4 linked regions of the Drosophila melanogaster genome follow. The protein of the gene in region 4 interacts with the protein of the main gene of each other region in a pairwise test. Each region holds a gene or a part of one and is shown on either strand. Other genes may lie near its edges. The genes, in order: CG30080, sle, Tsp33B and CG10311.

The links.
Region 1: the proteins of CG10311 (region 4) and CG30080 interact in a two-hybrid assay, tested with the Drosophila melanogaster proteins (one large-scale study listed by BioGRID).
Region 2: the proteins of CG10311 (region 4) and sle interact in a two-hybrid assay, tested with the Drosophila melanogaster proteins (one large-scale study listed by BioGRID).
Region 3: the proteins of CG10311 (region 4) and Tsp33B interact in a two-hybrid assay, tested with the Drosophila melanogaster proteins (one large-scale study listed by BioGRID).

Annotation. Positions count from the first base shown.
Region 1 is NT_033778.4:15,697,592-15,704,929, reverse strand, and holds CG30080 (uncharacterized protein), read left to right. Parts: upstream 1-3,233; 5' UTR 3,234-3,254; coding exon 3,255-3,301; intron 3,302-3,357; coding exon 3,358-3,551; intron 3,552-3,606; coding exon 3,607-3,716; 3' UTR 3,717-5,066; coding exon of another isoform or gene 5,067-5,242; intron 5,243-5,311; coding exon of another isoform or gene 5,312-5,342; 3' UTR 5,343-5,776; coding exon of another isoform or gene 5,777-5,914; 3' UTR 5,915-6,204; downstream 6,205-7,338. Other genes in the region: CG46433 (uncharacterized protein), read left to right, coding at 5,067-5,242, 5,312-5,342; CG42662 (uncharacterized protein), read left to right, coding at 5,777-5,914; CG33462 (uncharacterized protein), read right to left, coding at 7,016-7,338.
Region 2 is NT_033777.3:10,331,236-10,340,707, forward strand, and holds sle (slender lobes), read left to right. Parts: upstream 1-1,879; 5' UTR 1,880-2,041; coding exon 2,042-2,078; intron 2,079-2,161; exon of another isoform or gene 2,162-2,254; coding exon of another isoform or gene 2,255-2,261; coding exon 2,262-2,348; intron 2,349-2,415; coding exon 2,416-5,924; intron 5,925-5,986; coding exon 5,987-6,208; intron 6,209-6,272; coding exon 6,273-6,710; 3' UTR 6,711-7,030; downstream 7,031-9,472. Other genes in the region: CG12818 (uncharacterized protein), read left to right, coding at 384-406, 463-562, 621-1,364; CG12592 (uncharacterized protein), read left to right, coding at 7,168-7,180, 7,241-8,811, 8,876-9,316.
Region 3 is NT_033779.5:11,789,268-11,795,001, reverse strand, and holds Tsp33B (tetraspanin 33B), read left to right. Parts: upstream 1-2,636; 5' UTR 2,637-2,698; coding exon 2,699-3,451; intron 3,452-3,626; coding exon 3,627-3,734; intron 3,735-3,789; coding exon 3,790-3,909; 3' UTR 3,910-3,977; downstream 3,978-5,734. Other genes in the region: CG14937 (uncharacterized protein), read left to right, coding at 955-976, 1,056-2,371; CG14932 (uncharacterized protein), read right to left, coding at 4,066-4,519, 4,576-4,632, 4,692-4,730, 4,788-4,826, 4,887-4,943, 4,997-4,998; CG14931 (uncharacterized protein), read right to left, coding at 5,671-5,734.
Region 4 is NT_033777.3:16,350,286-16,360,116, reverse strand, and holds CG10311 (uncharacterized protein), read left to right. Parts: upstream 1-3,101; 5' UTR 3,102-3,317; intron 3,318-7,757; 5' UTR 7,758-7,785; coding exon 7,786-8,028; intron 8,029-8,085; coding exon 8,086-8,239; intron 8,240-8,886; coding exon 8,887-8,987; 3' UTR 8,988-9,331; downstream 9,332-9,831. Other genes in the region: CG42446 (uncharacterized protein), read left to right, coding at 9-224, 284-419, 474-493; CG17931 (uncharacterized protein), read left to right, coding at 976-982, 1,329-1,434, 1,506-1,575; Manf (mesencephalic astrocyte-derived neurotrophic factor), read right to left, coding at 9,534-9,700.

The sequences.
Region 1 (7,338 bases), on a different chromosome or scaffold from region 4:
AAGTATAGTCAAAGGTTTTGAGCATAAATTAAATCAAATCGTGGACACATAATTGCACCCATGTTGCATACGTCCTTTAACTCTCTTCAAGCACTTCAAGCCACGGTGACCATATGCCAACCCATTGATCTCGCTTAATGAACACTCGACCTGAACTGACTGCACTCGAAGTGCCCTTGCCGTTGGCTCTTCTGGCAGATGCGAATGTGGATATGCGGATGTGCGGATATGCGAATATGTGTCGAGAGGGCTGAGAGCGAAAGTCACAGAGGCTGGTCCAACAATTGAGCCATTGAGTACCGATAAAGTCATTCCCGGAGCATTGGCATATATGCACTAAACTCCGGATACCAGATATATACATGCATACGTGCGGCATTAGTGGTAATCCCTAGTTTGCCAGATTGCGCTTATGCCACTCGTTTAAATTGAATTGCCACGGCGCTGCGCCAGCGACTTTTAATGCGTTCCATGCAAATAGAGGCGCTCCTTCAGCGCCAACTGCCGGGCACGGACAACAATTACGCGCATTATCCTTTCGACTGGACTCGGACACGGACACGGACACGAATCCGGATCCGGACGATAACACGGCGTTTGCTTAAACAAGCATAAATGCGAAGCGCTAAAAGGACACTAACAGCGAAACGGAAGCGAAACTGCTTAGTTCGCGAGTCGAAGGATTAATGCTCTACCAATATTTCAAATTTAAATTAAATAAATTAAGAAAATACAAGTTACGATGATCCCTTGACAGAATCTCATTATAACACAACTAGTTTTGTAACTTATAAAATATCTGAAGGAATACCACATATTTAATTAAGCTCATTTGTTTGGTACCAATTTAGTTTATAACTTTTAAAAATGTAGATATTAGTATAGTTATTTCAAATTAGCTTCTTATTTATGTAGCCCAACATCGTGCAGCGCATTGGTGCTCTGAAATTTTAATTTGGCTAAGTAGCAGGCAGTGACAGACAGTGGCACTAGGATGCGAATACCTTGTTAGTGGGAATCATTCGGATTCGACCCATAGATACCCTGCATTCCCCAGAGAATCGCGTGCCCTTGGACTTCATTTCGTGGCCCAGAATGACCCAACCTCTCATCGCCCTGCTACCCTGCGTAGCTCGAAAAAACGCTAATTTAATTTTAACTTTGTGCATCCTTTCCTCGGACCTTCTGCAGGACCTTCTCCGCTGCTTGTCCGTTTATATATATGTACTCCAACCGACTTGTGTTTGATTTCGCTGTCAGCGTCTTTGGCACACTTTTGCAGCGCATTAGAGAGCTCAACTTTGGGGGGAGTGGGGCGGAAAGTTAAAGTCAGAAACGGAGACGGTATAAGAAAAAATGAATCTCGAAACGGACGCGAAAGAGTAAAAGTAAAATATTTGTCCTGCCACGGCCATTGCAAGTGAACAGCGCTGATTGCGGCACTAAAAAGAAACGGGTTCTTGTGCGGCGATAAGATTTTCAGCATCACCATCATCCGACTGCCAACTGCCAACTGCCCTTTTCATTGCGACTCCCAACTTAATCGGTCCGAAGTTTGGCCATCGCCGTCTAATGTGCTTCGCCAAACTTTTGGGTCCGGCTCAAAGGCAGTTGGCACCTCGGACCACTTTCAGTTATTTACGCAGCGTCGCCTGAACCTGACAATCAGCAGCAATTTGCCTCAGCGCCTGGGATCCGCACTCGAGTCCCATCCACATCCACATCCGCATCCGAATTCTTATTCTTATTCAGAAAGCATCCGATAAGCATAACAGTTGTCGTCGTGCCGCCGGCTTACACCTTGAAATCGGATTTTTAGGGTGGGTTCAGTGATGAGCAAATAAGCAAAAAAAGTTAAATTAAAAAAAGAAGTACGGTTATTTATCAAAATAATTTTAAAATATTATTATCAAAAAACTTTTAAATATTATTTTGGAGTAATTTTTCTAATTAGATACATATCAGGTCATATTTTATGCCTTTCCAACCGGGAATGGTATTTTTCCATTAGCTGAATGGGTTTGAAATAAGCAAGAAAAAGGATATATTGGCACCTCTGGTGGGTTCGGTGGTTTCAGTGGGTGGCTGGGCGTCTGGCGGCGGTGCGCTGCTGCCAACAAATCGTCGCCAGATGGTGGCGACAATAAAACGTTTTACAATGTAACCAAGGCGACGACAAGGAGCAGGATCCGTGTGGCCATGTGTGGACAACAATGTGCAACAAAGTTCATAATTGTTTATGGCGACGGCTTCGATTTGATTTTTATGTCTTCAGGACTTGGGGCAGTGATTGAGTGTTGGTCTCAGGCCACAACCAAGGGGAAAAATGTTATAACCTCTAGCATTCAACTGTTGTAAAGAAACCTTAGAGTTTTTACATGCACCCGAAATTCAATTAAACAATTGTAAAGTAATATATTTAATGGTAACTCACAACTAGTCGTTTCACATACTTTCGAAACCATTTAAAACTTAAGTACGTGCATGAAATGAAACTTTAAATTCACCCTCATGCATCCATGGAATCTAAAGGTATAACATTATGGCACATAAGTTGCTTTTCGTTTTCTATTTGGCTTAATGGCATAGAAACATTAGGGATGAAATTTCAGACTATAATATTCCCCAACCTGCGGGCCCCGAAACTCCCGCCAGTCCGTTGGCTTCATTATATTGAAACTTTGACGTCGTTATTTTGCATAATTTACAGCTCGCTTGAATGCAGCAGCCAAGTATATTTCTATAACTACGCCGGTGATGGGCGGAAAATGCGGGGGGAAACTGCGCGTGTCGGTTGTCAACGCTACCTTGGCACATGCGAAACGTGAACTTCGAGACATCGAGTTAATGATTCGCACTTGTTCGCCCCCGCCACGCCTCCTTTTTCGACGTTTATGAGGCAGTAATGAAGTTGATTTATTACATTACACGACTTCTCGGGATCTTCGATTTCTTCTTCAGCTCAACGCACAGAGCATTGAACTCTGCATAGAAAATAGATACGAAAATAGACGCATTGTGACTGCAGAAGTAGCCGGCTGAACTCAAACATCTGTTCCGCTAGTTCCGCCGGATCGAACCATTTCCTAGATGGCTATAAATAGATAATGTAACGCCCTAACTCCAATCTCAGACACGCGTCTGCGATCGTCAGCCGCGACTGAGGGCTAAATTTAGAATGTGGAGAAGTAGGGCCCGCCAGCCACCCAAAAACATTAGTGTGGAGCTCCAACTTCAGTTTCCTTAGGAGCGCCATGGAGTGCAGAGCTGTTCCCATTCTACCCACCTATTCTCAAGCCTGGTTCGTAGTGCACAGTTTTGGATTAGCAAATCTACTAGTTAGTTTTTATTCAACAGTGGTACTCCTATGCCCCGGAAAACGTCCCTCTGCCGTACACTCTTTGATTATGGTCCTCTAAACGATCCGGTGATCATACTCATAACACTGGCCGTCGTAGTTGGATCCTTTTGCCTGCTCAGCGGATTCATTTTACTGTGCGTTGTCTCAAAAGCCTGGCAGGATGAGACTTCCGAGGCCATTCTCCTAATGGGTGAGTAACAGTGCTATTGAATTGATTGTTCCTATGATGAACTTTGGGTTTATAGCGATTGGCTTCTTCATCACGGCTTTGTCCTGCGTATCGTGGAAATTGACGCGAGCTCAACGAATTTCCCAGTTAGTGGATGCCCTCAGCGTAGATAACCAAACCATTTAGCTTGAAAGTATCTAACGTAAGACATATGAAAACTACGAGCTTGCAATTAGTTGCAATATACCTGATAAACTCTAAAACGTTCAACATTAGGGGCTGTCCGAAGTAAGATTGGTCTTAAGTTGTTTTTCCTATTCGCTTATGTTAAAGTACATGAATTATCTTATCAATGTCACCTATTTAATAATCTTGTTTGCTTTATAATAATATAATAATAATAATATTTAATATTAATATTAAAATATTAACCGAGACTCCCTGGTTTCGGACTAACTTAATACATAAGTGGGCTAATCAACGTGCCACCGCACGCAAAGGATAACCTCTCATTCGGTTTTGAAAGATTCAATTGCAGCAAGGCCATCCAAAGTCGAGATCCCATTTGAATCTCGCTCCCTCCAGTTATCTTCTGATCCCCGAATTCTCCGCACGAACTCTCACTGGCAATCAGCACGAATTCCTCACAGCAAATGAATTTCTTTGAAAGATTGGAATATCAGCATATGTCGCTTTGTTAAATGACCACTCACTTTAGAATTTGAAAAACAAGGGGCATTCCTCTTTATTTCCAAGTCCTTGGCGGTCAGCTGGTCCTTTGGCTTCGAAACTATTTTCGCGATGCACTAACATTCTCTGTAGTGTAAGCATTTGCCTGGCTTCTGATCGTAGGTGGTGCAGTATGTTTGATCTTGGGGAGGGAAACATTACTACAGGTCACCCCTCATCTGCTGGCACTTACAGGGCTTCTCTGTTTGGTTTCCAAAGGGAACTGCTTGTCCGGATTGTTGACCAAGTTTAAGGCATATGACCAGGAGCAGCAATTGCAAAACCGTCATTGCGCCACCAAGCTCTGATATGAACTGAATGCAGAAGACAGTCAAACTTCAGAGGAATCTCTGTGGATTATCTGATTACAGGTAGCTTGATTGCATATTGCAGTGATTAAATTTACAGAGAAACAAATAATGCTGCAGTGCAGGATAGAGAACATTAAATATTTATTTTAAATATAAAAAAGGGTGAAGAATGAATGCGTTGATACCATTTCTGTTAATATCTTTGTTTTCGGCTAACATAATTGTATCTTAAAGCTGAATTTTTACTGAATTAAGAGAAGATTTGCTCATCAGTCATATTACTAGCATAAAGAGGTTTTCGGTTAGATACACATCTAAAGAGTAAACCATATTGCGAATTGTAGGTAACAAGAATTTGATCCTCACTCCATCCTGCTCTTAAGGACATGACCTACCCCTGGGCATCTGGAGGCGCAAAGAAAATGCAGCTGCTTGCGCCCCTACCTGAGATCAAATAGTCCTTGATCCTCAGTCCGAAACGAGAACTCATCGAGAGATGCCACACTTGCAGAACATCGAGCGGGATTTTCCCCTTAACTGGACCTTGAATCCCATTCGGATCTCTAGTAGTCTCGCCGCAAATACTCTTTCCTTATATCGAAAGATCTCGCAAAACATGTGGCGCAGTTGTATTCAATTTTGCCATAGTCCCAAGTTCCAGCAATATGTTAGGTAAGTTTGGATACAATGATATTAGATATACATATAAAAAAATGTCCCTCCCTATATCGATTCTTCCAGATTCCTCGAGTCCAGTCTCTGTCAGTTTTAAAGAGCAATGATCCAAGAAAATGCGTCGTCGCCTCGTCTTCAAAACAGATTGCTTTTGATTTGCAATCTTGGCACGTTGACGATGCCAAAATTTGTTAGTTGAATTCATTATAGCGATACGCAGAGAGTCAGTCAACGATCTCGTTCCGAGAGGGGGGTTTCGCTTTGTTGTTTCAGAGTTCTGAAATACAACAATTTGTGGCATTGTAAAGTGCTCGTAACGCGATTGGGTTTGGGGCATTTCCAAGTCGGCGGCTGGGAAACTACCCTTGCCGCAGCAATTCCACCATCCAACCTTCAGTAGGGGGAAAACACCTCGCTTGGAGCTGCAATAAATTCCGGTCGCTATCAAGACGAGCGTTCAGTAACGTTTCAAAGCCAGACGCGCTAAGATTGCTAATTCCAAAGCTTCGACCAGTCGACGAGCATCAGAACATGGAGCACATTCGATTTGTTGACAAAGTCTTTAGAGCCCTGATCGCCGGCACCCTGCTGCTCCTGATGACCGCCATTTACCGGGAGGACAACAACTCCGGATCCCACTACATCCATCCAAGACACGCCATGCAGTAGCTCCATCGTGGTCTACTAAGATCGATTCAACCTAGTCCGATGCAATCGAATCTCTCGAAAGTGCGGCACAAAAACCGGTTGTGTATATTGCCGGCTCGACGACATATCGCCATATCAACTAACTGCACAAATAATGTTATGTTATATGTTAATAATGTTAATGTTAAGAAACATGTGTAATTATCTATAGCTCATCCCATCGTAACTAATCTAACTTATGTGCTATAATGTTAATACTTAGAAATTAGTTTTAGTGTGAAAATATAATATAAAATGCAATGTATATGAACACAACCATTTTGCTCAACTTGCAGATAACATGGGATCGGGAGGGCTCTGAAATATCGATTAGCAAGAGCTATTCGCACTCTTTGCAAAACAGGTTGCAATTTCATGCGATCCGAACTTGTTTATAGAAAACATTTTTAATGGGCCAATTTCAAACGACTTTAGCACGAATTTCTTTCTTTATCCGTGGCATACTCTAGAAGCTGACCTTAGCTAATATAAGCAATCACGTTTTGCTTATTGGAACAAGTGTTTTGAGCAAATTAAATTTCCGTGCAAAAGAGCTACAAGTGATATGAAGAACATTGGTACATACGACTAAGTTTTGCGGTATTTCAGTATTTTAAAATTGTTTTAATAAATAAATAAAAAATTACTAGAAAATGTATTATCAAAACTAAAAAATGTTTAATTATTTAAACATTACACAATGCATTTAAACAATTTTTCAATCTACATACATATCCTCCTAATTTTACATCACCAACGCTTAGCATGGTTTTCAACCAACAATGTAAGATCGAATCTTTTCTACATGAAATGTAACAAATATATGCGAAACTTGGCTAAAATAAAAAGTCTTGAAACTCAGATGGATTTGTTATATGTATAACAAGAAAATCATAATCAGTCAATTGAGATTAAGCCAATAATATTGTAATTTTTTTAAAAGGAAAACAAGATTTGTTGAGTTTCTTTGCTTAGAAACATAGAAATGTTAAATGCGACATAGTCTTTATTGTTCAACATTAAACTTTTTAATTTATTATATTAAACAAGGACTAGCAATGAAAGCTTACTATTGATATTATATTATTTCGGGTAGTAAAATACTGGAATTTTATCGACCCATTTCTTTAATGAACGGTTCATATCCGTCGAGGGTCCGTATTGCCGTACCACCCGTTTTATCCAGTCAGCGTAGCTCAATAGATCCATGAGAATGCCAGAGTTCTGGCACTGGCCCTTCACCCTGCTGGCGATGCCCAGTTGCACATAGCGGTCTGAGCCATTGTGCCACATTTTGCGGATCTGCGGAGCCCCGGAGTCGGTGCTGCAGAGTTGACTCAAGGTGTTGCCGGCGCAGATCTGTTCGAACGTCATATTCCAGCCATAGATTTCGGAGCACGTCTCTT
Region 2 (9,472 bases), 6.0 Mb from region 4:
TACTCTGTAGGGGTTTTTTTCGCAATTCAATTCGGAAAATAATTGCTGCGAAACAGAGCTCTGTGCTTCTTCTTCTTCTTCGTTTTGCCCCTTCTTCTTCTACCTTCTGACAGATGTGTTTGCCATTCGATTGCTAGCAATCGCCTGTGAATGCCAAAAATTAATCGAGTGCCCAGGGGGCGCGCGAGTGTAAGTGGGTGTGGCCACGTCAAGTCAGCAAAGTAAACACATTTAAAAAATAAATAAAATAGTCCACTTTTCAAGCTAGAGAGCAACAAATTCGGCCTACTGCGCTTAGGGCATTCGATAATTCAGAGCCATTCGATAGACAGAGATGCCTATCGAGTAATCGATTACAGGAATGTCAACAAAGTGGAAATAAAATGAATATTTTACCAAAAAAACGGTAAGTTTTATACTGATTCTAAAGATACCTCTCATCAATTCACGTGTATTTCTTAGCTGGCATGTGCGTACCAAGGAGAACATTGCCCGCGTGCGCCGGGATCAAGCGGCTGCCGCAGCAGAAGAAAAAGTCCGGCAGGAGAAATTGGAATTTGCTGTGGGTATTGCCCAAATATCGTCAATTTAACATAGTAATGTGTACTTTTATCAAATAGGAAAGCGAGGCACGAATCAACTTCCTGCGCCGCCAATCGGGCTTGCCGGAGAAGGCCTCCAAGGAATCTCGAGAGGAGTCGCAATGCAGTACTGAAACAACCAAAGGGGTGGATCTCTTTGCCGACTACAAGGCGAGAGTGAAGACCACTAACAAAGACTTGGAAAAGGAGCAAAAGGAGGAGCAGGAGAAGTATGAGAAGCAGATCGGCTACCTCACCTACTTGGGCCAGGACACCAATGAAGCTTTGAAAGTGCGCAGCTGGTACGAGTTAGCCCCCAAAAGACCAGAAGTTGGGGATCCCACAGCTACTGAAACTCATCATAAGCAAAAGCTAGCCCACGATCCTCTGACCCTAATTAATGCTTTGTTGCCGCCAGAAAAAAAGGATCCCAAAAAGGCCACAAAAAGAATTCGCGAAAGGACACCCGCGCCTTCTCAGGAACCTTCAATACCCCACAAGGACAAGAAATCCAAGAAAGATAAGAAGAAGCACAAGAGCAAAAATGGTTCAAGGGAGACCCTTTTGGCCGAGGAACGCATAAAACGAGAAAAGCTCGAGACGCTAAGAAGGGAGCGCATGCGACGGGAAACAGCGGAACGCCAGCGTTCCGAGGCTCTGTTCGCACCCAAGGAGCTGCCGGTGGCTGCCAGTGCCGAATCCACGCCGGCTTCGACGCCTAAGGTTGTCCAAAAGTACAACAGTCAGTTTAATCCGGAGTTAGCAAAGCAAAATATGCTCTAGCCATTAATTATGTTTTCAACTTAATGTTAACAGCCTGATTATGAATATAATCACTAAGCAAATAAATAGAAATTACACTTTATTATTGAATTGTCTAAAAAAATACTCTTTGTTTAAATATAAAAATGATTATCGTCAAATATTTGTACTTTTATAAATACATACATATGTATAAACACATCGCTTTAATATCCAGTTATTCAACCGTTACAAGAAGTCTTGGCGGTTTGGTCATGGTTTAAATTTAGATTTCGCGATAATTCCGCTTAAATGATATCGGCTACTTTATCGGTGCCGAAACAGGCCAATGCTGCACAGCGTCTAAATCGGACGAACTATTAAGTGATTTTGCACTTAAAATAAGAAGATAGAAACCTAATTTCGAATAAAATTTAATTTAAGATAATTCATCAGTTGAAGGTGATATTAGGCTATCGACACATTGAATTTAGCCCCGAAACTATACTAGTTTGAATTCTAACGGCCGCCACACAAATGCTCAACAGCCGGCTGCAGTGTTAGAGAACGTCGCAGTTTGCGGCACATGTGAAAATCACTTTTTGGCTCGGCGTCTTGGCGTCTTCGTTTCTATTTCTTTGTTATAATTTGCATGCGGGTTCGAAACTCTCTTGATTTCAATTAATTGTTGTGTGCGAAAAACAAAAGAGCCGGGCCAAATGGATGATAATACGGAGAACACAGATGGAAAGCGCGGTGAGTGAATCTAAGCGTGCTGTGCTGAAAAAGCAACGGGACAAGTAAACCGGCGCTCCAAAGTCAGCCATTAACGGGGGGCTCCTATCTCAAGCAGGTCGCCTTTGCATTCGATCGAATAAAATTTATTCTTACACATTATTCATTTTTTCGTTTATCCGTTTAATCCAATAAATATGGTAGTGACCCGGGCTAGAACTCGTCGCTTGTCCCTTCTGGAAACGGACAGTCGTCCGAGCACTCCGCAGTTGGATACGGTTGCGGAACTCGGTAAGTTGTGGCCCAACTCGGATCCCGGTTGTTTCAAGTCTAAGAATATTATTTCTCGCTTCAAAAGGTACCGCTTCGCCACGTGCCACACGTCGCACACGTCTGAACTCGTCCACTTTAGATGTGAGGACTCCAACACGAACCAGGCGCGCATCCTTGGCACGCGGTGAAACTCCCGAGCCGACGACGCCCTCTTCCGTGAAAAGGACAGCTCGCACGCCAGCTAAAAACACCAGATCTGTGCGCCAACAGCTTACACTAACAGAGGAACCTGAGGAAAATGAGGTCAAGCAGGAAAAGCCCAGCCCCAGTCCAAGCCCTGTGCCCAAAGAGGGCAAGGGAAAGGCACAGCGGAAGCCCAGTGTCAGTCCGAGTCCAGGGCGAACACTCACACCCAATCAGCAGAGTGATGAGAAACGAGTGACGCGTTCAATGTCTCAGACTCCACCAATGCCCACTCGTTCGTCCAGTAATACGCCTCGTGATCTTAACGATTCACCCAAAGTTGAGCAAAAAGCTAAACCCAATATTAAAACCACTCCCAAAGTGGCAGTCAGGCTCGAGAAACTTTCAATGGACAAATTCTCTGGCAAGAAGATGGAAAAGGCGAAGCCATTGATTGTACCGGATGAACTCAAGGATAATGGAGTTGTTGAGGAGCAAAATAAATCTATCACTGAAGCCCATTCACAGGCACCAGAAACACACGAATCAGCCCAACCTGACAAGGATGCTGGCAAACAATCATTCCTGAAGTCATTTACTACACTTTCGAAAATTCAAGGTTCAAGTAAAGCTCTTCACCCTGATGAGAGCGCAGATACAATTACAAAAATAACTCCAACCTCGACATCCAAGAAAATTGAAGAAAACATGGATGATGTGTTTGAAACACTACGCGTCGAGTCCCCCAAAGTTGAAAGAAAAATCGAGACTCTGCAGAAAGTCCATACTGTTGGCACTCCTGAAATTAAAGAAAAAGACGAGCCCGTTGGGGTAGACAATGAAATTAAAACGAAAACCGAAACTCCCCAGAAGATTGAACCCCCTATAATTGAAAGCAAAGTAGAAACTCAGCAACTGATTGATCATCCTCAAATAGAAAAGAAAAGAGATACTCCACAAAACGTTTCTACTGTTGACTTAATGGACACAAGCCCAGAAAAAGATGAGTCCATGGAGGACCAAGAGTTTTTGGATGCAGAAGATTCGATTGTTCAGTTAGAGCCACAAACCGATGAGCCAGTAGAGAAACCAAAAGAACTGGAGTTTGTAGACCTCGACGACGATGAGCCGGTATTTCCGTCGGAAGCTCCAAAATATGTCGAAGACAGTAAGGAAGTACACCCAGATGATTCAATGGATGATGACAAGCAAAACAAAATCGATGTTACCGAGGTTATACATCTGCCCAGCATAAGAGCTCGTGCTGTGCGTTCTCCTGCTGTGGAGCAAAAAAAATCGGTGGACTTCAACAACGACACTGATGACTTAGAGGTAGAAAAGAAACGGTTTCCCAAGACTCCAGGACGTGAGAAGGTGCCAGTTTGTCGCATTCTAACCCCCAAGCCGGAGACGCCCTTAAAACTGGCTCTGCAAAAGGGTCGTAATAGTTCCACACCAATATTAAAAGATCAGGAACGTGGCCTGTCCAACAGCACGGAGGAATTGCATCCAGCACCTCCTCAAATTGATGCTATCAAGCCATTCGATGAGCTGGAATCAAAGAATGCTAAGGATGAGATGGTGGAACAATCACCCATGTCAAAGCAAAAGGCTGAGAATAAAATCCTGGCTCGTCTAGAAAGCTTTGAGGAAGATGTTGAAGACCACGGGAATGAAGAAGAAAACGAGGAGGAGCACGAAGAAGACAAATCCATTTCCGAATTTGTGGACCTAGAAGCTGAAGATGCTGGGAAAGATTACATGTCTGGAGATTCGATGGACAGTTCGCTTCGCCGGGAAATGGAGGAGAATGAAATTCCAATCGATGGGGAGTCCGTTGGCAGTAAAGATACTGAGGAGTCTACCCCAGAAGAATCTGATGGCGACGATTCGTTTATTGTATCGGACAACGAAGACGAGGAAGATTTAGGACAGCTTTGCTACTCCTCTGGCGAGGATGAAATTGAAGACGCTGAAGAATCTGAACAAGCTGAGAGGTCTAGCGTGAAACGTCGCCGCATTATTATTGCGAGCCCCAGTGATGAAGAACATGATGGAAAAGTTCAGAGCAATGACGACTCAAGTGAGAACAAAACAGAGAAGCCCAAAAACCAAAGTAACTGCTCATCCAATGCCAGTAAATTGAGCGAAGCGGCCCAACTGTTAAACGTCAGTGAGGAAAAATCTTCCATCTCGGAAACCGAGCTGGAAAGATCTCGCCAAGTCGCTCTCAACGAACTGAACAAATCGGAGCGGTTTAACAAGACAGAAACGCAACTCGATATCAGCGTCATGGAGGTAGACTCCTCGGATCACGACGAGGAGGAGAAGACAGAGAAGGTTGGAGCCAAGAACAACAGAAGCCTGTACGAAATCGTGGATTCTGATGACGGGGAAGAGCAAGATCAAGACCAAAGTGATGCAGATAAACCAGCTGAAAGCGAAAACCATTCCGAAATTAAAAAATCTACATCTTTCATGGACCAAATGTCTGGAGCCAAAGGCAACAAAAGCGTATACGAAATAATGGATTCTTATGAAACTGAAGACCCTAAGGAGGCTGGTAAAAACGAGGAGTCTGATAAGGACAAACCGGCCGAAAACGGGAAGTCTGATAAAGACAAACAAGCCGAAACCGAGATGTCTGATGAAGATAAACCATCTGAAATCAAAAGCCCTTCCACAATCAAAAAATCCATAATTTCAACTGCGGATGAAGAAGCTCTGCTCGCCGAATTGGCCTCTAGTGATCTAAGCCATTTGGAAAAAATGTTTAACCCTCTACAGAAATCCCGCCGCCAGTCCTTACATGTCCCCAGTCCCGAGCTGGCAGCCAAGAATCCCAAACTGAGACGCCGTAGTGAACGGGTTGAAGTTGGCAATGACTTCTGCCCCTCGCAGTCCTTTGTTGACATGGTGGCCGAGAAAAAGAGGCAGAAAAACAAGCGCAAGCGCCTGTCGAAAAGCCTATCAGGCGCACCAGAGGATCTTGAGGAAATGGAGATTAAGCACGAGCGCAAGCGCCTTAAGAGCTCACATGGTGCTTCCACGGATTCAATGGAGGAGGACAACGAAAACGAAACAATGACTGTCGCCGAGGAACATCACAGCGACGGGGAAGTCTCGAATGGTGAAGTTCCTATTGAAGAAAAGCCCACTACTTCATCTGAGAAACCATCTGCGTCGGAATTACCTGAAGAAGAAGAAACTGTCGCCGTTGAGGAGCTTCTCATGGAGAAGCCGAAAACTTGCGATTCACCGCGATCCGAGGAAAGACCGACAGAAATTGTGACTTCAAAACCGAAGGGTATGGCGCCGGTCAAGGTGGAGAAGACTGCCGAATATTACTTGGCATACTGTCACAACCTCCTGGAAGCTGCCAACGAGGCTAAGTTAAAGGAAAAGAAAGAGGTCAGTTTCTTAAATAAAAAATCTCCTTTACGATTCACACTAAATTCGCTTATATTTTATAGCATCTTGCCAGCGGAGCAAAGCAAAAGAAGCCAAAGCGAATTGCTGCGCAAGCGCCATCCAAGCTCCTGGGCACCATCGGCTCAGAATCGGAAACCAACACAGCGAAATCGTCCAAGCAGCCACCGGCGCTGAAGAAGGATGTAAAGCGCCTACAGGCAGCGCGCCAGGCTGTGAGTCATGCTGTTAATCTTCTGGCGCCACCAAAAGCCACCGAAGCAGAGGTAAGCGTTAGTTAGTCGCCTACAAATAATAAGAGTATAACCAAAAGTCCTTGCTCCTCCGCAGCCACGCACGCTCTCGCGCAAATTGTCGCCACAGCCGCCAGTGGTGGACAAGAAATCAGCCAAACAGAAGAAGGGGAAGAAGAAGCAAAAGCCCCAGGAGGCATCACCGCTAAAGAGTTCCGATGAGGAGAACCACGGCCATCGTATTCGAACAAATGCTGGCTACGTGACGGTGGTCGATGAGCCGCCCACTAAAGTTCCCAAAATCGAGCTGATTAAGACAAGTTCGGGCATGGTTCGAGTTGAGCCGTGCACACCCAAACAGAAGTATTTCCGCGAGCTGCCGCCCACACCGAAAATGCATGGGTTCCGCGAGGAGCCAGGACCCTCCGGGATGTCAAGGAAGCGGGCCAAGCACGCAGCACCAAAGGTCGAACACAATTCCGCCAAACAGGCGGCGCTGCGCTTCAAGGAGCAGATCTTTGCTCGCAGATCTTAGGATACATTACATTTAGAGAAAAATTAGTGGAAATGTTAAGTGTACACAATGCATACTTCAGTTTTTGTTTCTTTTCATTAGCATTTCCCCGATTGAATTTGATTCTATTATTTGTTCTATTGGTTATTTGTTACGCAAGCCCTTGCTCTTTGCCATATATTATTATTTTGTTCAATTGCACATCACTTAACCACACTTAACGCTAGCAAGTTGGTTGTTGATCCAATCAAGATATGAAATCAATTAAGAAATTTTCGAACTTGTCCCCTTTTTTTTTGAGCATCTGAGAAACAGAAAATAAAGCCTACCCATACAAATACAAAATGAAGGAGGAAACTTTTTATTACGGGTCCGAACATTCGGGGACAATTCTCTGGAAAAGTAGGCTGGCGGTTGCCTGTCCGTCATGTTGCACAAAACTTTTCATATTTTTTCACATATGGCTCACCATTTCGCAATGCGAACAATTTGTAAGTAAAATGCTATTCTATTCTCAAGATTTAGTATCCTATTTCGATTTTTGCTTTTAGTCAATGCAAAAATTGGCGATGCAGCCTACATCCAGGATGAACTGTCTTCGTCGCTATCCTCTTCTGTGGCCAGCAAATTCAAAGAATTTTCGAAGCGCAAACGCATTTCGGACAGTTTCTCGGATCTTTCAGAAGAACTTGAGAGAATAGGTTTGCGACAGATGAGGAAACGCATTAAGTTGGAGAAATCGTTCGAAAGAACTCCCAAAAAGAAGGTCCAGACCAAGAAGCATTTACCACCGGTTCGGAAGAAGGATAGCGTGAAACGTCGCCGCATTATTATAGCGAGCCCCAGTGATGAAGAACATGATGGAAAAGTTCAGACCAATGACGACTCAAGTGAGAACAAAACAGAGAAGCCCAAAAACCAAAGTAACTGCTCATCCAATGCCAGTAAATTGAGCGAAGCGGCCCAACTGTTAAACGTCAGTGAGGAAAAATCTTCCATCTCGGAAACCGAGCTGGAAAGATCTCGCCAAGTCGCTCTCAACGAACTGAACAAATCGGAGCGGTTTAACAAGACAGAAACGCAACTCGATATCAGCGTCATGGAGGTAGACTCCTCGGATCACGACGAGGAGGAGAAGACAGAGAAGGTTGGAGCCAAGAACAACAGAAGCCTGTACGAAATCGTGGATTCTGATGACGAGGAAGAGCAAGATCAAGACCAAAGTGATGCAGCTAAACCAGCTGAAAGCGAAAACCATTCCGAAATTAAAAAATCTACATCTTTCATGGACCAAATGTCTGGAGCCAAAGGCAACAAAAGCGTATACGAAATAATGGATTCTTATGAAACTGAAGACCCTAAGGAGGCTGGTAAAAACGAGGAGTCTGATAAGGACAAACCGGCCGAAAACGGGAAGTCTGATAAAGACAAACAAGCCGAAACCGAGATGTCTGATGAAGATAAACCATCTGAAATCAAAAGCCCTTCCACAATCAAAAAATCCATAATTTCAACTGCGGATGAAGAAGCTCTGCTCGCCGAATTGGCCTCTAGTGATCTAAGCCATTTGGAAAAAATGTTTAACCCTCTACAGAAATCCCGCCGCCAGTCCTTACATGTCCCCAGTCCCGAGCTGGCAGCCAAGAATCCCAAACTGAGACGCCGTAGTGAACGGGTTGAAGTTGGCAATGACTTCTGCCCCTCGCAGTCCTTTGTTGACATGGTGGCCGAGAAAAAGAGGCAGAAAAACAAGCGCAAGCGCCTGTCGAAAAGCCTATCAGGCGCACCAGAGGATCTTGAGGAAATGGAGATTAAGCACGAGCGCAAGCGCCTTAAGAGCTCACATGGTGCTTCCACGGATTCAATGGAGGAGGACAACGAAAACGAAACAATGACTGTCGCCGAGGAACATCACAGCGACGGGGAAGTCTCGAATGGTGAAGTTCCTATTGAAGAAAAGCCCACTACTTCATCTGAGAAACCATCTGCGTCGGAATTACCTGAAGAAGGTAATTCAGCGCCACCGGCGCTGAAGAAGGATGTAAAGCGCCTACAGGCAGCGCGCCAGGCTGTGAGTCATGCTGTTAATCTTCTGGCGCCACCAAAAGCCACCGAAGCAGAGGTAAGCGTTAGTTAGTCGCCTACAAATAATAAGAGTATAACCAAAAGTCCTTGCTCCTCCGCAGCCACGTACGCTCTCGCGCAAATTGTCGCCACAGCCGCCAGTGGTGGACAAGAAATCAGCCAAACAGAAGAAGAAGGGGAAGAAGAAGCAAAAGCCCCAGGAGGCATCACCGCTAAAGAGTTCCGATGAGGAGAACCACGGCCATCGTATTCGAACAAATGCTGGCTACGTGACGGTGGTCGATGAGCCGCCCACTAAAGTTCCCATAATCGAGCTGATTAAGACAAGTTCGGGCATGGTTCGAGTTGAGCCGTGCACACCCAAACAGAAGTATTTCCGCGAGCTGCCGCCCACACCGAAAATGCATGGGTTCCGCGAGGAGCCAGGACCCTCCGGGATGTCAAGGAAGCGGGCCAAGCACGCAGCACCAAAGGTCGAACACAATTCCGCCAAACAGGCGGCGCTGCGCTTCAAGGAGCAGATCTTTGCTCGCAGATCTTAGGATACATTACATTTAGAGAAAAATTAGTGGAAATGTTAAGTGTACACAATGCATACTTCAGTTTTTGTTTCTTTTCATTAGCATTTCCCCGATTGAATTTGATTCTATTATTTGTTCTATTGGTTATTTGTTACGCAAGCCCTTGCTCTTTGCCAT
Region 3 (5,734 bases), on a different chromosome or scaffold from region 4:
TCGCAAACACACACTATCACACGTCTATAATTATGTAGTTGAGTATCCGTGTTAGTTTTTGGGTGTTTTTGGATTTTTGGTGATGTGTATAGAGCGCAGTATATAGAATGCATATAGAGATATATATTATTGTACGATTATTGACTAATATATAACGGATATGTATGTGTAGTACGTGAAAGGCAAGTTTATGGAGACAATTCACTTGTGTTGCAATATTAATGAACAAACGAAATAATTTACTTGTAAGTTGCGTAGTGCAAGCCGTGAGAATAGAGGTAACTTTCTCCACAACCCACACTCACTGATCGACAGACACATACCCATTAACCTTAATGATTAAACGCTGGGACAGCGGCAAAAATGTTTCCTAGGAGAAAAATTAACAGAAGCTGAAGAAAACGCTTGGAATGCCCCAATTAACGTAAACATTAAAAGCAACAAACAGTAACAATACTAAATAGAAACAATAATGTACTATAAATCAGATACAATACAACACTATATATACCTAAAATATATATGCCTATACGACAGAAATTGGACAACAAATGAAATATATATATATATAGTATATATTGTACAAGTTACGAGTAAAATGTAATTAAAATTTATGAAGTAGTAAGCACTAAACAAAACAAATAAATGAGCAGCAAAAACGCGCAGCATAAGCATAAAACCGGATTTTACAAGAAACTGAGTAACCCTGAGTAGAATTATATTTTTTGGTTAAGGATATTATTATGATTTCGTATCTCTGGGATACCCCGAAAACTATCGCTTCGTTTTCCCATCTCCAAAAGGATAAGTCGTTTAGGTAGCGCGAATTCCGCCCGATCTGCCTGGAAACCCACCCCTAAATGACCTTCGCACTAGGTAGCATCGGACTACTGACCGTGGCAACTGCGTGAATTCATTAGTATTCCAAGTACCACGATCGAGAACAGACCGCAGATGACGTCCGCAAGCGATACAGGTAAGGAATTGGCTAAAAACGAAAAAAAAAAAAACAATACAACTGAGCCTATTAAGACGATCGTCCTTCAACTTTTTAGAACCCACTGCAGTAACGCTGCTCCAGCTGAATGACGATGTCCTGGCTTTGATCATCCGCCAGCTGGACACGTACCAGCAGTTCCAGATTAGCAGGTTGAACAGGCGCTTGGCGGGCGTAGTGCACATGCTCTGGGAGACCCGTGTTCGCAACGTTGTCCTGCAGGACGAGATGTTCGGACGCTCGGGAGCCAATTCCCGACAGTTTGTGGCTTTCATCTTGGCCCTGGCTCCGCACATGCAGCACCTGAGTTGCAAGCAGTTGGATGTCCGAAGACTGCGACTGCTCAGTAACCACACGCTGGAGAGGATTCACTCTTTCGAGTGGCTGGGCAATGTGTATAGACGGAGACGCGTTCGCTTCGTGGATGAGGATGTGCGAATGCTGCAGAGGGTATTTCCCAATCTAAAAAGCCTCAAACTTAGAGGCTGCCAAATTACCGGAAAATACCTATGCGACCTGGATGAGCTTACCGATCTCCGCCTGCATGATTGCCATTTTCTGGAATCGCAACACTTTAGGGACATCTTCCGGCAGCTGCGACTACGCAAATTTGACATAATGGAGGACTGTGACGAGGTGAACTGCTGTGATCTGGCGGATCTGCAGCTGTGTCCCACACTGGAGCATATCAAGATTGCGGATTACCACGTGTGTATGGAGTCGGATATTACGCAGCAACTACTGACATTGCCAAACCTGCGAAAGCTGTCGATCTATTCCAGGAACTTTGTCTTTGATGTCCTATCGAGGATAGTTAGTCCCACAAGTCCTCCCGGCGATGGCCGACAAATTGAGGCCTTTAGTTTCAGTGGAGTTTTGCACGACTATGGCCGGTTCTTCAGGGAGCTGGGAAATCTTAGTCACTTGACGCGACTGGAGCTGCACAGCCAGCCAGAGGAAGAGGAGGAGAAGGAGGAGGGCGTCCAGGTGCAGTGCCTGGGGGATCAGATACTGCGGCAGCTAGCCAGTCAACTGGGTGAGCTAACCGAACTCCATTTGTGTGGCTATCAGTTGGAGAGTCCTTTGGGCCTGCTGGAATTCGTGATCAATTGTCGACAGCTGAGAGTCCTCGACATCACTCGAACCTTCTGCCATGGAGAATCCTTCGTCTGGAGGTGTATTGCCATTTTGGCCAAGCAAAGCTGGCGCATTCGCCCTCTAGAGCTGTGGATCCGGCATAGCGATATCAATCCGGAAATAGTTCAAAGTTCGCGCTGCGTTGATAACATAAGGCTGATAAAGGTGGATGCAAAACAGATTGGACCCAATACGGACTACACATCTGGCGTACTCAAGTTTAGCTTTGTGCGGTAAACCGCTGCCCCATGAGTGGGATATGCTCCAACTGATCAAGCTCCAAAATGAAAAGGTTTTAAACTGAAATATAGTTAAGTGTATACATTTATCAACTGCTTACCAAATAAAAAGATGTAAATATACATATTTGTAAAGCGATTTTTCAATGCATCATTGTTTTTACTGCCCTTAGGGATAAAAAAAATTAAATTCAAGTTGTAGTACACTTTAAAATTCAAACACCCAAGTCCTTGCAATCAGCGTCAATCCAAATGAAATTCGAGTTCAGAGCTAAAACCTCGTCGACAAGCCAAACTTTGGATCGATGCCCACGAGGATGACCAAATGCGCCAGCCCTTCCGCCGAGCCTCCGTCTACCTCCACCTGCTGTTAATAACCGAGGCCGTGATCGGACTGCTGATCCTGGTGGTGACCGCCTACTACCACACCGTGCTCACCGGCTATCTATCGGATATTGAGTGCCGCCTGGTCTACGGCTATCTGTTTGGGATCTACGTGTTTGGCGCCCAGGTGGTGGTGACCTTTCTCTGCAGCATTGCCATGTGGCGGCGAATTTGGCGGCGTCGCTGCACGCCGAACATTCGCCTCTTGCTATCCGTGTGGGCCTTCTACTCCTGCGTAATCATTGCCTCCGGTTTCGGGTGCGTTTGGAATCTTTACCGGGGTGTCGATGTCCTCGAGAATGCGGCGGACACCTCGCTGACCCGCGGCATCGACATGTACTACTCGTGTCCCGAGTGGAAACTCCTGTGGGACGGACTGCAGTGGCACAAGGAGTGCTGCGGGGTGCATGGCTACAAGGACTGGATGAACGCGGAGTGGATGCCACGGCGGGAGAATAACTGCACGTCGATGGTCCTGGCACCCTTCGCCTGCTGCAAGCGCTCCTGCGACAGCTGCTTTAACAATTTCCTGCCCAGTGAGGGGCAGTCCATCGGTGGCAATAGCCGGCAGCCTTTTCCCGCTCTCACCGTGGACTCAATCAATGCGAACGGATGCTTGCCTGCGTTCGTTAGTGCGGTGTGGAACTGCTTTTACATCCTGATGGCGTTATGGGTCCTGGCCCTTAAGTTTCTGGTAAGTAATTGGTAATGGGCAACGTTTTAAAGTCAGAACAATGGTGAATATTGGAGCCATATTCATTAAATTCTGTCAAATTCATTAGCGTAAGTCATATTGAAATCAAAAAATTTGAATATGCAACAAAATTGTATTTTAAGATAAGACCTCCCTAAGTCAATCATCTTTTTAGATCGTGCTTTGTTGTATGACCAAGTTCATAGTTCACCGGCAGAACGAGGGCGATGGCTGCGATAATGTGGGACTCACGGACGATGATGGACATCCCTTGGTCGTGGTGGTGGGTTTATCCATTTACTATCCATCGATAGCACCTAAATCAGTCCATTCCCCAGAAATATCCGTGTAACGTGCGCTGTGTAACAATTGCCGAGGATGATCTGGTATCCGACAACGTTCCCGATATTAACTACTGCAATTGCACCGAAATGGACGACGAACCGTGTGGATACTAATATTGTGCTTAATTTTACTTTTATATTTTATATTAATTTAATTAAATTTACGAATTTGAGTTAACTTCATATCCAATCGGTGAACGCAATATATTATTTATTGGATATTATAGGATACTTATTACATGGATGTTGTAACATTGGATGTTAAATGGATTAACGGCGCATCCTCTTGGATTTCTTCAAAGTCTGACCCACCAGTTGAGCAATATGTTTGCGCAATGCCAAGAAAGGCTTCAAGCAGACGCGCTGCTCGACGAGACCCACAGCAATGCGGTGAAAGAACTCGGTGACATCCACGGGCTTGGCCAGCAGCTGACCTTGTGATACCGAGCCGTTTTCCTCTGAGGCCTCGGGCGTAGGGCTACGTGCCATTCTACGGATGAATGGTTCCAAGTTGCCCCTGCTACGTTGGGAAACGCGAGCTCCAATGGACTCTGATAGCGCATTATTGGCGCGAGAGAAGGTGAGACGCTCCTGAGATCCCGAGTCGTTTTGATCCGGAGTCTCTGGCTTCTGTATCACCAGTTCGGGTGAGGTGGGGTTTTTCTTTGGAATTTTCGGAAACTCGGTAATTTCGGTAATCTCCAAAGCACTGTGGGGACGTCTTCTGTAGAGAATCCGAACCCGTTATTCCACGTTCTACATTACGAAACTATAACTTACGGTGTACCCGCCTCATAAGTGACATATGGGGACCAGTCTGCCCCATCCAAATCCATACTAAAAGGTTCACAAAATGAAGAAAAATGATTTTGTTTTATAACATTAAATTTACTCACTCATCTTCGTTGGAACAGTCATCATCTTGATCACTTTCCCTGATTATAAGGCAACTTAAAAATAATCTATCAAAACATTATATTAAAAAGACTTACACAGAAGACTCGCAGGTAATCTCGTCACTTTCGGGAGCACTAGAAAGGAAATACATATATTGTCAGTGTTTTTCTGAAGCTAAATTAATGAAGTCTTACGTAGCTTCTTGATATTCATCATCATCGCCCACAATATGAGGAACCTTTGATTGGGACCTGCAATGAATAATCCATCAATATATTTAATGAACTGCTTTAATTTTAATTACATTTTTAACAAATTTTCAACGCCTAGCTCCTGGAAAATGACAATGTGAAAAGCCGTGCGGCCAGTGTGTCCACTCCAAGGAATGTTTAATAAGAACATCAGTGTTGATCAAAATACTGTTGAAAACTTACTGGAGCATATGTAATTAATATATAAAATTCAGTTAAAGCTCAAGTCACGTGTTCTTAACATTTAGTAAAAATAGAAATTTATACTAAAGGTTTTGGTAAATTTGAGCCTTAAAATTTTGGTTAAGTTTAGCCTTAAAATGGCAGTTAAACATAAAAAGTTTAAATTCCTATAAAAAGACGTACCAGTGTTGTACAACAGGCTTAATTTACAAACTTCCAAATACAAATGTAATTATACATATTTATGTAAAGTCAAGCCATCACAATTTAATTCCACCTTTGGAAATGTTTTTATATATTGGGTGTTCGTTTTTATTGAACTTGACATGCTTATGACTAAATAGTTAAGGAAACTGGAATTGGAATAAATACAGCTCGACCAAAAACACAAGCCACAATTATGCAATAAATTCAATCCTTTAATGTGACATATAGTTAACTTATTCGAGTACTCTTTCTTAGACATATGTGGGCTATAAACATTGTAAAATCTCTACTGCATTCGATTGGGAAACATAAACCACAAGACATGGGCGGAAATAGCCTATTCCTGGCTGATTTCATTGGCATCTGAGAAATCCGAGACGGCGACGCTGCTGGTGCTGATT
Region 4 (9,831 bases):
CTGTCTTTATGGTTTTTAGATCAATTTTTCGGTTTTTTCAAAATTTATTCAGATCAGTAAAATACAGTATTATGGGGGACTGCGCAGATGCAAAATTAGTTAGTCGAGTTACGGTGCCACCAATACCGAAACTTGGCGACATGCACATGTATTGGGTGTGGCGAATGCTGATTAAATCATATTTGGATGCTATAGGTCTTTGGTCTGGAAATCACCCAAAGGAGGTAATATATATACTGTTAATAAATATGGTGGTTAAATCTGCACAATTCGTTATTTTAAGAGCGCCCATACAAAATTTGTGCTGCTGAGCACGTTGGAAATATGGGTTGTAAGAAGGGAATACGATGAAATGAGCAGCAGGTCCATTTTCGAAGATCTCGAGGAACGATATGCTATCACTAACAATGACAAACGAGGTCAGTTGGCAATGGATAGATTTATTTAAAATCAATAAGATTTGTTTTTATTAGACTCTATGTACAACTTTTGATTGCTGCCTGGATTACTACTGTAGTGTAATAAATCTCAAACTTCAATATATAATTATATATATTTATAAATTTGGTGAAAATTGTCGATCTCGGACGGTTGGATATTATATTCATTTAAAATTTGTCATGGTAAGCATGCATAAAATTGTACAAAACACATCACACTAGCTTAAATCTACTTTCAATGAAATTATATTTTAAATATCAACCGAAGTCCCGGGAAATATACCAGCTGTGCTCATTTTGAGCACACCAGTGCTGCCCATCGATTACCACGCGTTAGTGCCTGTGCGCATCTAACGCGTTAGTGTCTTCCAACTTTTGACACATCGTTCAATAAAAACAAATCAACTTCGAATGCTCGAAAAGCAGCAGGAATATTTAATATAACGCTAAACAACTTAAATTTACTACTCTCAAAAGTAGAAGTGTATCAAAATTGTAGCTATTTTCAGTCGAGAACCAAGAAGGAGCCTTAAAAATGACACGTAAGTAAGGGCATCATGAAGCCATTTTGTTAATACTGCACAATGTATTAAATGTGCATGTAGATCCACATACATATGTATATCTATCTATTCGTCTAAATAACAAATTAACTAGGATTACCTCCAGTGTCATGCAAAATCGTAATCTCCAAAATATGATAAGAGAATTAGAATTTCGACCCGAAAGTAATCCTGGGTTTTCGCGTATAGAGCAGGCAAAAATCGATGGACAAGCAGAGGACATGTGAACGCCTCTAACCTCTCATAGATTATGTAGATCACATTTAGCACGCGCCACTAACCAGCTGCCACGTATTAACCAATTATAATATCACCAATTTAATAGGCGGCAACCAACGAGACCTGGCCCGCCAGAAGAACCAGAAGAAGCAGGCGGATTTGACCAAGGGAAAGCGAACCGATAACCTCACCGTGGAGCAAAGGAAGGCCAGGTGAGTGATTTACATTTTCAATGTATAATGTATAAGATATAATATTATTAATAAACCAACCCATAACGCAGGGACGCTGAGTTAATGCGGGAGAAGCAGAAAAAAAAGGAAGAGGCCGCTGCGGCGGGCACAAGCAAATAGTCAACCCACTGGCTTGATAGAGATCTGGACTCCCGGTTGCATTTCCGGACAGGTTAGGCTTATAGTCAGTCGTTCGTCAGCCAAGACCCCGATTCGCCCAAGGACCTAGGATAGTTGGTTAGAATGTACATGAAGCAACATACATAATTCACGAGAATTGTATACAACTACGCATAGATATTACCGGGCTGTACAGCACGCGACATAGCAATAGCAATAGCAAGTGCCACCCAAGGACTTCGATTCTGTTCCGGTTTTTGTTCATTTTCGTTTGCAGTGCTGCTGTACGATAATTAAGTAATCTTACATTTTATTTCTCCACCTACCTGACTAAATTATTTACTGTAATGTATATATATAAATTTTCAAATAAAACATAATATGCAGCCGACAGAAAGACTCAATTATGTGTTATTGTGTTTGACGAAAATATATATATAGATTATGGCACTCGATAACGGTCGATTGCTACCGAAAATTAACTTTAACTAATGAATCCCTTTTCTAGCAAATATGGTCGCCGAAGAGAGAGATATAAAGATTGATAATCCCAGAGCAATCCCCATAAGTATAGCTCAAGAATGTTAAATATAAGCCTTAGATCTTTAAAATCGGAGTATGAATAGGGCGCTGGATACGACCTACTAAACTTCCTGGTCTGATTTAAGCATGACCTAATGAGGTATTTAATTTGCCTCGAGTCATGCTGAAATTTGCATACAATGGAATATGGATATTTGTAAATGGCACGATTTGATAAATATGAAAGTAGCTGCATGCCAAAGCTTGCCCCACAAAACTATCGCCTAGATGCCAATAAGTCGATTGCTAGCATTTACCTTTTACAGAATAAATGACCAAAAACCTGGCCACTAACGACTGGCAGATGCACACAAAAAACATGCTGCTAAATAAAATTTCAGTTTTAGTTTAATTTTATTTTATTTATGTATAAGAAAAGATATCAAGAAACAACAACGAATTTTGCGCAAGACTGGTAAACTAAGTCATTGAAACTTAAATACTGTGACTTTTATCTTTTGGAATACCTATCTGTTTTCGAATAGATCTTCATACATTGTGCCACAGTGCACGGTCTTATTCATGGCCAATAAAGGCAGATGGGGTCATGGCGTGCTGATGTATCTTCGGCTGAAATCTCGAGTTCCTTCAACGAGGAAAACAACACGGATGTAATGAGAACGTCCACTGATTTGTTTGACTTGGCTAGTGCAATGCGCTGTAGAAGATCGCCTCACCATTGTTTGACCAAGTGCTTGATATCTTCATGCCGGAACAGCAGAGCAACGTGGGCCATCGAAACGCCTAACTGGTTTCTGCTGTTTCTGCCTCGGAGAAAGCTTCTTGCCGGTCACGCAAAAGCTGTCTTAACTAAAAACAGCGTCCAAGTTTTGAGAACTTTTCAGCCAGCTAGCCGAGAACGAGCGGAAAAATCAACTAACGCTCGCAGATGTGAAAAATCGCGATCGCGAGTCGGCTCTCACGTTGGCGGCAGCAGCCCGCGTTTTCAGTCGCTCCGTGAAACCCGTCGCACTCACATCGAAATCGCGCGCAAGTCGTCGGATCCAAATCGCCTCGAAACGCTACGCACTTGGAGGAGGCAAATATCAAATATATGAGAATAATTAGTTAGGAGGCAGCCGAATCAGCGGAATCAAATCGATTTCCCTCGACTGCATTTAGCAGTGCTGCACCATCAAATCAAAAATAAATTAGAAAGTGTAAGTGAATATATGGCTGGCTGCCAGGAGACTGACATTATCAGCGGAGAAATGCAGGCAGTTGGCAGCCGATTGGGCGGATCGGGAGATCAATCGATCGCCGTCGCATGCAAATCGAGTGATAAACGATCGCCTCGAAATTGAAATAACAGGCGAGCAGCTGGCCCCCGGAGGTGGATACATATGCATATGTGTGATCAAACAGAAGTGTTTCTCGGGGAAGGGCGGCGTGAGGAGTGGGAGGAGTAGGTAGCCCCCAGTAGCCATATACTCATATACCTATCTATACTATACAGCCAGTTACCCGACTTGAGGCGCGCTCGTCTGCCTTGCGGTTGTATGTGCTTATTTATACAAAATATATTCAATTTCATTAAGCTGTCGCTGCTGGCTGGCCGTCCAGTAATTTCAATATTCAAATGATCGCTGATAGCTAAACCCCCTGACTTTTTTACTTTTCTGAGCGCCCGCAAAAGCTGCGGTAAAATTGAGAAAACCGCAGCGTATAAATAATTGGAAAACAATAATGCCACTGTTTGATCGCTGACCCAAATTGGCAGAGAAAATGAATGCATCTTAATGAAAACAGAGTCAGTCTGTTTGCTGCAGGCATAGCGATCTATATAGTCGATGCACTCGGTGATGTCAGAATTGCGAACTGACATTGAAAGTCTGCGAACGGCGACAACCTGAAAGCCTTCTTCTTTGCCTTTTTGGGGACCTCAAGTTGAACACGTTGCGAGTTTAGGGATAAGTGGGCCATCCAGCCCAGTGTTCAGGTGTGCGGGGGCGTATACGTAATATGCGCGCCTGGCATACATTTCAACTGAGCCACATTTTGGCTATTCGCCTCAGTCGCGAACCATAAAAATCACATCAAAGCCCCAAATGAAAGCGTCGTTCATTGAATCTTAAGTGGCCACTCCTCCTGGGAAGTAATTATAAAGGGAAATAAACGGTCTTCAAGACAAAACTGTTTCTAATCCATCCACATTTGGCAAAGTTCAGTGACGCGCATCCACTTGGAAGCAGTGAAAAATGAACAATGTGAAGGTTACTCAATTTACAAGGCAACAGATAACGCCACCAAATTTTATTTGACAAAAAATATTCTGGCAGAACAAGCCAAGGCGTTCGCACACCTACGCCATACGAGATGGCACATGGGCGTAGAATTCTCGACGAACAGGTGTTGAAAATCATAAGGTGGAGTCCCATTCCTGACCCCAGACAGCCACTGATCAGAGATTGTGAGAGCTGTTCCAAAAGTTCCACCGCTTTTGTCGACTCTCTAGATTTCTAGTTGCTCGCGACCTTGTGATCTATTAATAAGTGTTTCGTGTTTTTATATATGAATCATTTTGATGGGCGATCTGTTTATGAGTTAACTTTCGTTTGGCTGGGAAAACGAAAAGCCCAAAATCCGAAAGATCCCCGAAAATTGAGTTTTTGATCGCGTCCAATGTCGCGGCTTCATTGACCCTGAAAACTATGTAGTGTCGACAGAACGAAAAGTATCTCATGGATGCGCGCACATTTGTATCTTGCGTCTAAAAGACGCCGCTGCCACTAGTAATTACAAAATCTTGTTCGGCAAACGGAAACTTCAAAGGCTGCAATTGAGTTTGCAGCTGCAACGGTTTTAATTGATTTATATGGCAAGTCGAGTAATGTTTAAAAAGCCGCGGAAAAAAGCCAATTTGACAAAAAATCAAAGACAAAAAGTCAAGTGGGAGCTGGAATAGCAGAAATAAAAAAAACAAAAAAAAAACAAAAATGCGGCGTGCTTTGGACCTGTCAAATTTGGTAGAACGATTTCTACCGGTTTCAAATGGACCTAAATAAATGAAAAAAAAAAACAGACCCGGCCACTCAAGTGAGCTCCCACTTTCTGTCGAAGATTGTAGATTGAGCAATTTCCAGCCACATACAAAATGACTTTGTCTTTTCGATAACTTTTGTGCCTGGCGCAAAAAGTAGCGCAGAAAAATGTCAAACTTAATTACGCGTTGAAGCGCAAACTAATTGCCGAGTGGATTTGCGGGCTTCAGCGGGCAGCAGGGTCACAAAAGTTCGAATGGCGATAAAGTCGACAACAGCCAAAGCCGAGAATAATTGGCTTTGGCTCCGTTTTGCGGCCCACGACAACAGATAATAGCCGCACACAAAAAAGTATCTGTCAGATATACATATTTAAAAGCTGGACACGTGCTCATTGCACACGAAAATTAGCATTTACTTGTGGATCGAACCCATTTTCCACAAGCATAAAGGCAATGGCAATTGAAATGATTTATATGAGCATTATTTCACTTCGCTTTACTAGACAAATGGGTCAGCTTATGGTTAATGGGATACGATAAATGATTACTTGTGTTTTTATAATTTGAATTTTATTGTAAATACTTGTAGTTAAAATAATTTGTATTATAAATTTTTATTGAAAGTTATTATCTCATATAAAGTAATAACAATAATTACAATATGACTACGTTCTGAGACCATTCTACTATTTCGTGGTCTGACCCACAAATTTTGCAGCCTGCGGTAAATGTTTTTTGTTTTCCTTTTCTTGGCTTGCATTTTCTAAAGCCACTTTCTAAAATAAATATAAAATATTGATGTATTCCATGAAAAACGTCAAAAATTCATGCTTGAGTAAGTGCATTCCCAATGCCTTTTAATTTGTTTGTCGACAAACTTTACCTTTCACAAAACCGGCAGCATCCGCCACACTTTTACTCCCACACCATCACACTTCAGACCCAAAGCAACTCCATCCAGCTACGTAGTGCACGTCCAACTGCCCAGTTGCACTTGTCAAGTCAGAAGACTTTCCAAGACTCCAAGCCTACGTCAAGTGGAGGCACGAATTCCTCGGAAAGAGTCGCCCACGCCATGGCTTGAACTTGACTCCAAAAGCTGCGAGTCACGCCTATATATACATATAGTAAAACCACTTTGTGTGAGGCGAGCGGAAGTCAACGTCAGCATTAGATGAGTTCATTGCGAATATTAACGCCATTAAACGAATGAGTGGGCTGATCGCTTCCATATCGAGGTTGTCTACCCCTTTCCACTGATATGGAGAAGTCTCTAATTGTTCGCCGAGGTCTAAAGTATCTTAGCTTTACTTGGGTTTGTTCTTCTAACCAGGTCAAAACAGCGATATCGCATTGCCGCAGAAAGTAACCCAAGACGTTTGTCTGAGTTGTAGAAACCAGACAAATGCTTTCTGCTCGGATCTGTATCCAATTGAGGTACCATTTATAAACAGACGCAAACGTGGAGATCGTCTGAGTTAAAAACCCGTGCGAAACGCGTGTAAACGGCATGTTAATGCGCCATATGTCCGGTTTATGAGCCCCGCCGCCAGTTTGTGACGAAACTATAAAAAAAAGTTTTTGAACTGCTATAATTTAAAGAATGTGATGTGATCTTCGGCACGCACCCTCACCGCCGCCCCTGATAATTGCGCAATTTGTATAACACTTCTGTTGCCCAGATTGTTCGCATCTCTTCACTGTGTTGTTGTAGGTCGTTTGAGGTGTGAAACTCAGCGGAAATGGGCTTTACATACAAATGGTATCTGTAAATGTATCTGTATCTGTTCGCTAAACTTTAGTTGTTTGCCCAAGGCATTTCCCAGCCAGCCTTTCTATAATGACTCAAAGCGTTTCCATGTAAGACAAGATATTTTGGCATGTGATTATCTCATCCAAGACCGCCGTGAGCCACATGTATACATCAGATATATCACATGGATACACAAGTGCCCGCATCCAATGGATGCAAACCAGCTGCAGCGGCATTTGCAAGTGCCAACATGCGCCACATCAATCTGCAGCCGGTCCGAGGCACGTTGAGCGTTTGATTAATTTAATGACAATGCCCGGTGGCGCTATTTCGCTATCTGGATAGATGGGTGCAACCCACATATGTATACTCGTACCAGTTCCGCCGATCGTGTGCGCATGCACCGATGATATAAACTTTCCCAAGCTCGCCATCTCTACTGCCATTCCAGCTCGAATCCCTGAAGGAATAGTACGATTAAATTAGTCATTCGTGTCGTTGATTTATTTTAGAGCTTCCATAAATATAAAGCTTACGTCTTTCAAGTATTTCACGCTTTCTGTCCATTGTTTTCTTTGTTTCTTCTATTTTTAAAGCACATTTGTTTAATAAACATTTATTTTTTTTGTGTGCTTGACGTCACAACTGGTAAAACTGTGGAATTTTAATGTTGTAGTATTGGTTGTCTTTACTTTTGCAATAGTTCGGATATTTCAATTAAGTTACAAAACATATCTTTGTCTAGTTTTACATGAGTATATCGAGAACTTACTCACTATTCTATTGCTGTGTTTTTATTCTTTTAAGTTATATGTGTTCAAAATGGTACTTGAAATTGATGATTGTGTTTCTTAATATTTTCAGCTGGTAATCACAATATAGATTTGCCAAAATGCCGAAGCCACTGTTAAATTCGTGCTGTCTGTGCCAATCGACCCGGAATGGCTCCGTTATCTCGGGCATACTGGCGATAGTCCTGTCGATCATCACCATCGTGGTGATCTTCACGACGCGGGTGCACTTCAAGACGATAATCTTTGACTTCATCCCCAATGACATTGTTAAGATAATTCTAGTCATCAATTTGTGCATGACGATCTTGATATCGCTGCTCATGATCATTGGTGCCCTGAAGGTGTGTACTCAGCTAATTTAATTAAATGCATACAATAAAAATCTATCTATGTTCCAGCGGAACCACTACCTGATGGTTCCATGGGTGGTCCTCGGCATTATGATTGCCATCGGTCTGCTGATCTCCGTCATCTACACGGGCATCGTCTTCTTCATCGACGGCTACGTGCTGACGGGAGTCCTCTGGCTGATCTTCGGCCTAATTGTCTGCGGTAAGTGCACTCCCTCTTGGTTGGTGAAAAATGGGTGAGGGGGGGGGGGGGGTCTTGCTACTTCTCCATGTGCGGTTTTTAGCACCGGATGACGGTTATTGCGAGCCGTTTTTAATTTATAGACGCATTTATCATGCCATGATTGCCCGTGTGCTGAAAACAGAAGTGCCCCGGCGCCGCAGACTAGAGGATTTTGGAGGTAACTTGCCGGGTGGTGCAAGCAAATGAGGCGCAAAGTGGCTTGTTGAGGCCATTTGTAGAAATGTCAGCTGCAGAACTTTGATAGGAGTTTATTGGGAAAGCTATACGATTGTTAAATAAGCTCATTAAATGAATCAAACAAATTTAATTGTATTAATTCAGCGGTATAAAAGTTAAAGAACCGAATCACATTGTGAATGCTTCAGGTTTATACATATATTCCTCGCTTTTTTTTTACTTTTGAAAAATGATATTTTTCAAGTTTTACAAATTTGCATATTAAATTTGATAAAAATTAAGTGCTTACCGAAAATGAACCACATACGAGTTAAAAGTCAATTTACATTACATCGTGTAAAATCGGATGCAATTCATGTAGAATATAAAATGACAGCACTCTTTTGCGCGCACATGCCCTAACCCAATGTTCCTCCTCCATCTTTCAGCGATTATGACCTATTGCTGGTGCGTGGTCTATAGTGAATACGCCAACCTGTCCGAGGAGAACGAGCGCGGTCGTTACAACAAGCAGCCGTACCGTCGCTAGAATCTCCAGGAGCACTATTCATCAGAAATTGCATTCAAGAAGCTGAATCCACCACCCACACATCTTCATCCTAGCTTCCTATGTTCGTTTTTAGTGATTATGTCTAACTAATAATTATAATTTAGTTGAGGCGAGCCAGCCCTTCGCTCACATCGAATTTACGCGGCCCGTGGCATTAAGTGCAATGGAATTATGTATTTAACATTTAAATAAAACTTTAATCCAGATATTATGTGAATTTCTGTTGTAATTTGTACGTAATACTTGTAATTGTGAAAGAGGAGTTCAAAAACCGAAAACTAATAACAAAAATAAAAACAAACTATTTATCAACCGTTTGAGAGGACGAGGTCTTGTGTGTTTGTTGTTTTTTATTTCAAAATATAGGTTTTATCTTTAGGCATATATAGTTATATTCAATTCTCTCAAAGTCTATCAAAATTGTAAATTAACTAAAAATATGGATGTGTAGGGGGCGTTTCATGTGGTTGTTGTTTTAGCTAAGTGGGCGTGTTCCATGTAACTACACAAGTAACTGACTGCGCTCTACAGCTCGCTGCGCGAGTACTTGGGCTTCAGCTCCTCGATACGCTTGATGAAGTCGCCCTTCTCCAGGCAACCGTCACAGCTCTCGTCCCAGTCGTTGAGGATTTTCTTCAGGTCGCGTACCTTCAGCTTCTTCAGGTCCACGCTGTTCAGATCGATTTGTTTCTCTGCAATGAACAATCCACATAAATAAATGTTTATAGAAGTATATTAAGGCGAAGAGCAGCGACAGAAAAGCTAAATGTTAAGCCAAGTTAAGAGTTTTTGTTTCTAATAGACACCCTAGATTAATTGACTC